Linked DNA regions of Saccharomyces cerevisiae S288C. The protein of the gene in region 1 purifies or fractionates together with the protein of each later gene. This does not show direct contact. Each region holds a gene or a part of one and is shown on either strand. Other genes may lie near its edges. The genes, in order: ENO1 and TDH1.

What was found.
Region 2: the proteins of ENO1 (region 1) and TDH1 purify together in Saccharomyces cerevisiae (affinity purification with mass spectrometry; 2 studies listed by BioGRID, with this or other methods). This does not show direct contact.

The regions. Positions count from the first base shown.
Region 1 is NC_001139.9:998,994-1,002,740, forward strand, and holds ENO1 (phosphopyruvate hydratase ENO1), read left to right. Parts: upstream 1-1,933; coding exon 1,934-3,247; downstream 3,248-3,747. Other genes in the region: PUP2 (proteasome core particle subunit alpha 5), read right to left, coding at 1-147; putative N,N-dimethylaniline monooxygenase COQ6, read right to left, coding at 3,530-3,747.
Region 2 is NC_001142.9:336,593-341,930, forward strand, and holds TDH1 (glyceraldehyde-3-phosphate dehydrogenase (phosphorylating) TDH1), read left to right. Parts: upstream 1-1,678; coding exon 1,679-2,677; downstream 2,678-5,338. Other genes in the region: retromer subunit PEP8, read left to right, coding at 1-445; YJL052C-A (uncharacterized protein), read right to left, coding at 1,292-1,411; IRC8 (Irc8p), read left to right, coding at 3,195-5,338. UniProt on the Saccharomyces cerevisiae protein: Glyceraldehyde-3-phosphate dehydrogenase (GAPDH) involved in glycolysis and gluconeogenesis. Catalyzes the reaction of glyceraldehyde-3-phosphate to 1,3 bis-phosphoglycerate.

The DNA.
Region 1 (3,747 bases):
ACCTAGTACAACACCTTCTTTCGTGGCAATACCAATTGCTGTAGATCCTAATTTGATGGCCTCCAAAGAATACTCAACTTGGAATAACCTCCCTTCTGGGGAAAATGTGCTTACACCACGATCATATTCACTTCTAGTTAAGAACATCCTTTCTAGTTATATTAGACAATTGGAATTTATGTTCTTATTGACTTGTATTCTATAGTTATAGCGCTCTCTTGTCCAATTTCCTAGGTTACTCTTTTGCCACCGGTCTTGGTTTATGATAACCCTGTATAATGAAATTTCAAAAATATTTTCGTGAATAGTGATTTATTTAATTTAAGCACTAAATTATCCTTACGGACTTGGGCTACATTCATGTTTGCACGCTTAATAAAAAATCGGCGTACTTTCATCTATGCTTGGCTTATAATATGTTTGATAGTCAATTCATTTCAGTAAAAAGTCTTCAGCAGTAGTTGCAAAAGTGTCCTTTTTTACTTTTTGGGCTACATTATTCTTGAAAAAAGTTCATGTTTTGTTATTTCTTTCTCACATACTTTATAAAAAAAGATAATTTTTTTAAAAAAAAAAAAAAATACAAGTGGAACATTATCAAATAAAAAGCATTATAGCGCCACATGCGATGAACCTGAGCTTTTATCTTCATTAATATATAGTAATTACAACATGTTATTGAAATGCACAGCACTTATCCAGAGTTATTTGATATAAAGATTATGACTCAAATTCTTCTCGACAAACAAGAAACTTTCTCACCTACAAATGTCTTCAACAATTCTAATAATTGACACATAAGTATATTGTATATATAACATGGATATAAATGGCCCTATATTGAAAGCTATGTCAAAATAGGAATCCTTCCTTCCTCAGCGCTTTTTATCAAGGGCCAATTGATCTGATACACCTAGTAGTGTACTATAAGTGTAGAAAGCATACTATACTATTCGACACTTCCTTTCAATCCTGGAATTAACAGTCACTTTTAAAAAAGACATCTACCGTGAAGGTGCCGTAGAGTATCGCGTTACCATATCGCCAAAAACTGATATACGCCGCGGAAACCAGGCAAACAATTGAAAAGAAAAATTTTGAGGAACTCTCTGCATCGAAGCCGTCTAGAGTTACCACTAGTCAGATGCCGCGGGCACTTGAGCACCTCATGCACAGCAATAACACAACACAATGGTTAGTAGCAACCTGAATTCGGTCATTGATGCATGCATGTGCCGTGAAGCGGGACAACCAGAAAAGTCGTCTATAAATGCCGGCACGTGCGATCATCGTGGCGGGGTTTTAAGAGTGCATATCACAAATTGTCGCATTACCGCGGAACCGCCAGATATTCATTACTTGACGCAAAAGCGTTTGAAATAATGACGAAAAAGAAGGAAGAAAAAAAAAGAAAAATACCGCTTCTAGGCGGGTTATCTACTGATCCGAGCTTCCACTAGGATAGCACCCAAACACCTGCATATTTGGACGACCTTTACTTACACCACCAAAAACCACTTTCGCCTCTCCCGCCCCTGATAACGTCCACTAATTGAGCGATTACCTGAGCGGTCCTCTTTTGTTTGCAGCATGAGACTTGCATACTGCAAATCGTAAGTAGCAACGTCTCAAGGTCAAAACTGTATGGAAACCTTGTCACCTCACTTAATTCTAGCTAGCCTACCCTGCAAGTCAAGAGGTCTCCGTGATTCCTAGCCACCTCAAGGTATGCCTCTCCCCGGAAACTGTGGCCTTTTCTGGCACACATGATCTCCACGATTTCAACATATAAATAGCTTTTGATAATGGCAATATTAATCAAATTTATTTTACTTCTTTCTTGTAACATCTCTCTTGTAATCCCTTATTCCTTCTAGCTATTTTTCATAAAAAACCAAGCAACTGCTTATCAACACACAAACACTAAATCAAAATGGCTGTCTCTAAAGTTTACGCTAGATCCGTCTACGACTCCCGTGGTAACCCAACCGTCGAAGTCGAATTAACCACCGAAAAGGGTGTTTTCAGATCCATTGTCCCATCTGGTGCTTCTACCGGTGTCCACGAAGCTTTGGAAATGAGAGATGGTGACAAATCCAAGTGGATGGGTAAGGGTGTTTTGCACGCTGTTAAGAACGTCAACGATGTCATTGCTCCAGCTTTCGTTAAGGCTAACATTGATGTTAAGGACCAAAAGGCCGTCGATGACTTCTTGATTTCTTTGGACGGTACTGCCAACAAATCCAAGTTGGGTGCTAACGCTATCTTGGGTGTTTCTTTGGCTGCTTCCAGAGCTGCCGCTGCTGAAAAGAATGTCCCATTATACAAGCACTTGGCTGACTTGTCTAAGTCCAAGACCTCTCCATACGTTTTGCCAGTTCCATTCTTGAACGTTTTGAACGGTGGTTCCCACGCTGGTGGTGCTTTGGCTTTGCAAGAATTTATGATTGCTCCAACTGGTGCTAAGACCTTCGCTGAAGCTTTGAGAATTGGTTCCGAAGTTTACCACAACTTGAAGTCTTTGACCAAGAAGAGATACGGTGCTTCTGCCGGTAACGTCGGTGACGAAGGTGGTGTTGCTCCAAACATTCAAACTGCTGAAGAAGCTTTGGACTTGATTGTTGACGCTATCAAGGCTGCTGGTCACGACGGTAAGATCAAGATCGGTTTGGACTGTGCTTCCTCTGAATTCTTCAAGGACGGTAAGTACGACTTGGACTTCAAGAATCCAAACTCTGACAAATCCAAGTGGTTGACTGGTCCTCAATTGGCTGACTTGTACCACTCCTTGATGAAGAGATACCCAATTGTCTCCATCGAAGATCCATTTGCTGAAGATGACTGGGAAGCTTGGTCTCACTTCTTCAAGACCGCTGGTATTCAAATTGTTGCTGATGACTTGACTGTCACCAACCCAAAGAGAATTGCTACCGCTATCGAAAAGAAGGCTGCCGACGCTTTGTTGTTGAAGGTCAACCAAATCGGTACCTTGTCTGAATCCATCAAGGCTGCTCAAGACTCTTTCGCTGCCGGTTGGGGTGTTATGGTTTCCCACAGATCTGGTGAAACTGAAGACACTTTCATTGCTGACTTGGTCGTCGGTTTGAGAACTGGTCAAATCAAGACTGGTGCTCCAGCTAGATCCGAAAGATTGGCTAAATTGAACCAATTGTTGAGAATCGAAGAAGAATTAGGTGACAACGCTGTTTTCGCTGGTGAAAACTTCCACCACGGTGACAAATTATAAAGCTTTTGATTAAGCCTTCTAGTCCAAAAAACACGTTTTTTTGTCATTTATTTCATTTTCTTAGAATAGTTTAGTTTATTCATTTTATAGTCACGAATGTTTTATGATTCTATATAGGGTTGCAAACAAGCATTTTTCATTTTATGTTAAAACAATTTCAGGTTTACCTTTTATTCTGCTTGTGGTGACGCGTGTATCCGCCCGCTCTTTTGGTCACCCATGTATTTAATTGCATAAATAATTCTTAAAAGTGGAGCTAGTCTATTTCTATTTACATACCTCTCATTTCTCATTTCCTCCTAATGTGTCAATGATCATATTCTTAACTGGACCGATCTTATTCGTCAGATTCAAACCAAAAGTTCTTAGGGCTACCACAGGAGGAAAATTAGTGTGATATAATTTAAATAATTTATCCGCCATTCCTAATAGAACGTTGTTCGACGGATATCTTTCTGCCCAAAAGGGTTCTAAGCTCAATGAAGAGCCAATGTCTAAAC
Region 2 (5,338 bases), on another chromosome or scaffold:
TCAAGTTTTGCCGATATCACATTCAAATAATGAGCCCAAGCCTGTTAGATTGGATATAGGTATAGAAAATTGCCTTCACATTGAGTTTGAATATGCCAAATCCCAGTACAGCTTAAAAGAAGTCATTGTGGGGCGTATATATTTCCTTTTAACGAGACTAAGGATAAAACATATGGAATTAAGCTTGATCACAAGAGAATCTTCCGGCCTACAAACTTCTAATGTAATGACAGATTCCACTGCTATCCGATACGAAATAATGGATGGGTCTTCAGTGAAAGGTGAAACCATACCCATAAGATTATTCTTGAGCGGCTATGACCTGACGCCCAATATGAGCTGCAACTACTTTAACGTCAAGAATTATTTGAGCTTGGTTATTATCGATGAAGATGGCAGAAGATATTTTAAACAATCAGAAATAACATTGTACAGGACCCGGTAGAAAAGCTCGACCTTAAATAAGGTGAAGATGTGGTTCTCTGTTCTTTCAACATCTCGATATTTAACTTTTCGTTTGGCATTATAGTGTTATACATAACAATATCTAGATTTCAGTAGAAGACTTTTGCGTAAGTTATAACGAACTAAACAAGCAAGAGGTAAAATACGATATAGTAAGAAGCTCAAGTGCTAAAACTTTTTTTCTCTACGAAAGGAGGAATAGCATATGGTTTTCTTCCCTTTTACAGTGCTTCGGAAAAGCACAGCGTTGTCCAAGGGAACAATTTTTCTTCAAGTTAATGCATAAGAAATATCTTTTTTTATGTTTAGCTAAGTAAAAGCAGCTTGGAGTAAAAAAAAAAATGAGTAAATTTCTCGATGGATTAGTTTCTCACAGGTAACATAACAAAAACCAAGAAAAGCCCGCTTCTGAAAACTACAGTTGACTTGTATGCTAAAGGGCCAGACTAATGGGAGGAGAAAAAGAAACGAATGTATATGCTCATTTACACTCTATATCACCATATGGAGGATAAGTTGGGCTGAGCTTCTGATCCAATTTATTCTATCCATTAGTTGCTGATATGTCCCACCAGCCAACACTTGATAGTATCTACTCGCCATTCACTTCCAGCAGCGCCAGTAGGGTTGTTGAGCTTAGTAAAAATGTGCGCACCACAAGCCTACATGACTCCACGTCACATGAAACCACACCGTGGGGCCTTGTTGCGCTAGGAATAGGATATGCGACGAAGACGCTTCTGCTTAGTAACCACACCACATTTTCAGGGGGTCGATCTGCTTGCTTCCTTTACTGTCACGAGCGGCCCATAATCGCGCTTTTTTTTTAAAAGGCGCGAGACAGCAAACAGGAAGCTCGGGTTTCAACCTTCGGAGTGGTCGCAGATCTGGAGACTGGATCTTTACAATACAGTAAGGCAAGCCACCATCTGCTTCTTAGGTGCATGCGACGGTATCCACGTGCAGAACAACATAGTCTGAAGAAGGGGGGGAGGAGCATGTTCATTCTCTGTAGCAGTAAGAGCTTGGTGATAATGACCAAAACTGGAGTCTCGAAATCATATAAATAGACAATATATTTTCACACAATGAGATTTGTAGTACAGTTCTATTCTCTCTCTTGCATAAATAAGAAATTCATCAAGAACTTGGTTTGATATTTCACCAACACACACAAAAAACAGTACTTCACTAAATTTACACACAAAACAAAATGATCAGAATTGCTATTAACGGTTTCGGTAGAATCGGTAGATTGGTCTTGAGATTGGCTTTGCAAAGAAAAGACATTGAGGTTGTTGCTGTCAACGATCCATTTATCTCTAACGATTATGCTGCTTACATGGTCAAGTACGATTCTACTCATGGTAGATACAAGGGTACTGTTTCCCATGACGACAAGCACATCATCATTGATGGTGTCAAGATCGCTACCTACCAAGAAAGAGACCCAGCTAACTTGCCATGGGGTTCTCTAAAGATCGATGTCGCTGTTGACTCCACTGGTGTTTTCAAGGAATTGGACACCGCTCAAAAGCACATTGACGCTGGTGCCAAGAAGGTTGTCATCACTGCTCCATCTTCTTCTGCTCCAATGTTTGTTGTTGGTGTTAACCACACTAAATACACTCCAGACAAGAAGATTGTCTCCAACGCTTCTTGTACCACCAACTGTTTGGCTCCATTGGCCAAGGTTATCAACGATGCTTTCGGTATTGAAGAAGGTTTGATGACCACTGTTCACTCCATGACCGCCACTCAAAAGACTGTTGATGGTCCATCCCACAAGGACTGGAGAGGTGGTAGAACCGCTTCCGGTAACATTATCCCATCCTCTACCGGTGCTGCTAAGGCTGTCGGTAAGGTCTTGCCAGAATTGCAAGGTAAGTTGACCGGTATGGCTTTCAGAGTCCCAACCGTCGATGTTTCCGTTGTTGACTTGACTGTCAAGTTGGAAAAGGAAGCTACTTACGACCAAATCAAGAAGGCTGTTAAGGCTGCCGCTGAAGGTCCAATGAAGGGTGTTTTGGGTTACACCGAAGATGCCGTTGTCTCCTCTGATTTCTTGGGTGACACTCACGCTTCCATCTTCGATGCCTCCGCTGGTATCCAATTGTCTCCAAAGTTCGTCAAGTTGATTTCCTGGTACGATAACGAATACGGTTACTCCGCCAGAGTTGTTGACTTGATCGAATATGTTGCCAAGGCTTAAATAAAGCAATCTTGATGAGGATAATGATTTTTTTTTGAATATACATAAATACTACCGTTTTTCTGCTAGATTTTGTGAAGACGTAAATAAGTACATATTACTTTTTAAGCCAAGACAAGATTAAGCATTAACTTTACCCTTTTCTCTTCTAAGTTTCAATACTAGTTATCACTGTTTAAAAGTTATGGCGAGAACGTCGGCGGTTAAAATATATTACCCTGAACGTGGTGAATTGAAGTTCTAGGATGGTTTAAAGATTTTTCCTTTTTGGGAAATAAGTAAACAATATATTGCTGCCTTTGCAAAACGCACATACCCACAATATGTGACTATTGGCAAAGAACGCATTATCCTTTGAAGAGGTGGATACTGATACTAAGAGAGTCTCTATTCCGGCTCCACTTTTAGTCCAGAGATTACTTGTCTTCTTACGTATCAGAACAAGAAAGCATTTCCAAAGTAATTGCATTTGCCCTTGAGCAGTATATATATACTAAGAAAGGAATCATACTCTCTTATGTGCCATAATTCTGTTAGGAGCGGAAATAAGGCTGGTTTTTTGGGGATCAAGTTCGGAAGTGCTCTTCTCTCAATTGCCACAGGTGCCATTGCTATCGCATTGCTATGCAAGTTCCACGACCACGAAGCGGTACTGATAGTTATTGTATGCTCGACATTGTTATATGGAATACCGTCACTGATATCGTTTATCACAGAGACTGTTTTTGCGCCTAGCAAGTTTCATATTGGATACTTTTACAACGTTCTTAATTTTGCATTGCCACTGATCACCATGGGCTGCACAGTGGACTATTTTCATAATACCTTGAGGAGCCCAATATCGGTACAAAGCGAGTCTCACAGAGTCTATATAACAACTCTGGATTCTTTGTTAATTTTCACACTTTTCATTAATGGCATACAATTAGGATTCTTCCTGAAGGATGGCAATGCGAACAATTTCGGCAGCTCATCTAACAATATTAGTACGGATCAATATGACAAAGAAGCAAATGCGGTGGAAAATGGTAGATTTGTACCCCTTAAGAACTCTTCACAGACCTTAACACCAGATTTGGAATTATTACACGGTAGTCCCAAGAGTATGAATGGGGTAGCGTGGCTGATTAATGAACTCTCCACAAATTCAAACACAAACGCAAACAAAACCATATCATCCGATGAAAATTCAAACTCTTCAGTTATTCGACACAAATTAGGACCGATTAGCACCAGCAAGTGTCCTAAAAAGCCATCTCATTCGCATTTTTCTAAATTGAAAAAATATAACAGTTTCTTTTTGGGTCCTAAAGAAAATCGATACAAAAGAAATACACAACAAGCTACTAAGGTTCCGACAGAAAAGAAAAGCAACCACCGAAGTAGCCAGTATGTATCCAGACTATCAACCATATCTGACATCTCGAAAAGTTTCCTGAATTTCTTAGCATTAAACGAAAAAAACGGGAATTCGACTTCCACTGCGAGAACACCAAGTGAAGGAAGAGTTTCAATAATAATTAACGAAGGAAATAATACTTTGAAATACAAAACTCCCCATGATTCGCATACTATTGATTCTCCAAACTTGGAGTTAGAAAGAGAAGCTATTGGGAGAATTAATAGTGCCTTACTTCCTGCATGTTTGAGAGTAACAGATAAAATGATATCCCCACAGCAAAGCACTCAAAATGAGGACTCATACCAAGCAACACCATTGATACCCCAGGTGGAAGTTGACGATGATTTCTATGTAGGTGATATCTTAATGACTAATGAACTACAAGACATTCCACAAGTCCCAAGGATATCATCTGATATAGAAGACGATTTCGAACAACAATATACCAAACACGTGGATTTGCCAGCCCGTGTCACTTTAGAGATGTGGGAAAAGGATCAGGAGAAAATACTTCAAAAAGTAACCACAAACCGGGATAAAAGCAAATTACTACCCCCTTTCAGATTCACCTCTGAAAGTGATATGGATCCAAGTACATCCACCGAATTGGAAGTTGAACTGCATGCCCAAAACAACTTCAGCTTTCCCTTTAAAAGTGCAGGATTACAAATTGCTACATCAGACCAATTTAACCAACAGGAGTTTAAAACTTCAGATACTATTAGCGAACTAGATGAGTATTTACATGATCCCAGCATTCAAGAAGAGGATGCAAGTCAGCTGATTGAAAGCAGTTTGAACCAAAACAACCTATCCTCAACTACTATTGACAATGGCCCAAAGGATATGAGTAGATTTAGTACAAGGCATTCACCAACCAAATCGATAATTTCCATGATCAGTGGATCAGGAAGTGTCAAGCACCAACATTCACACAGCACCCTAAGCAACTTTTTTACGGGTCATTCAAGAAACAATTCTCAAATAAATCAGCTATTACAGGGTTCTTCTTCTAATATGATGTCCAACACCTCACCGCATTCATCTCCAACCAAGTCGTTGAGAATGAGATTTGGAAAGAAATTGTCATTATCAAATATCTCTGATACAATGTCGCCATATGAGGGTAGTACAACAGATCCGATAAACTACTCGTTTGGCCATGGTCACAATAAAAACCAGAGTATTGATTTTAGCTACGTACGTACTTTGCAAAGCAGTCATTCACCTACAAAATCAACCTCGGGAAATTCTCGTCG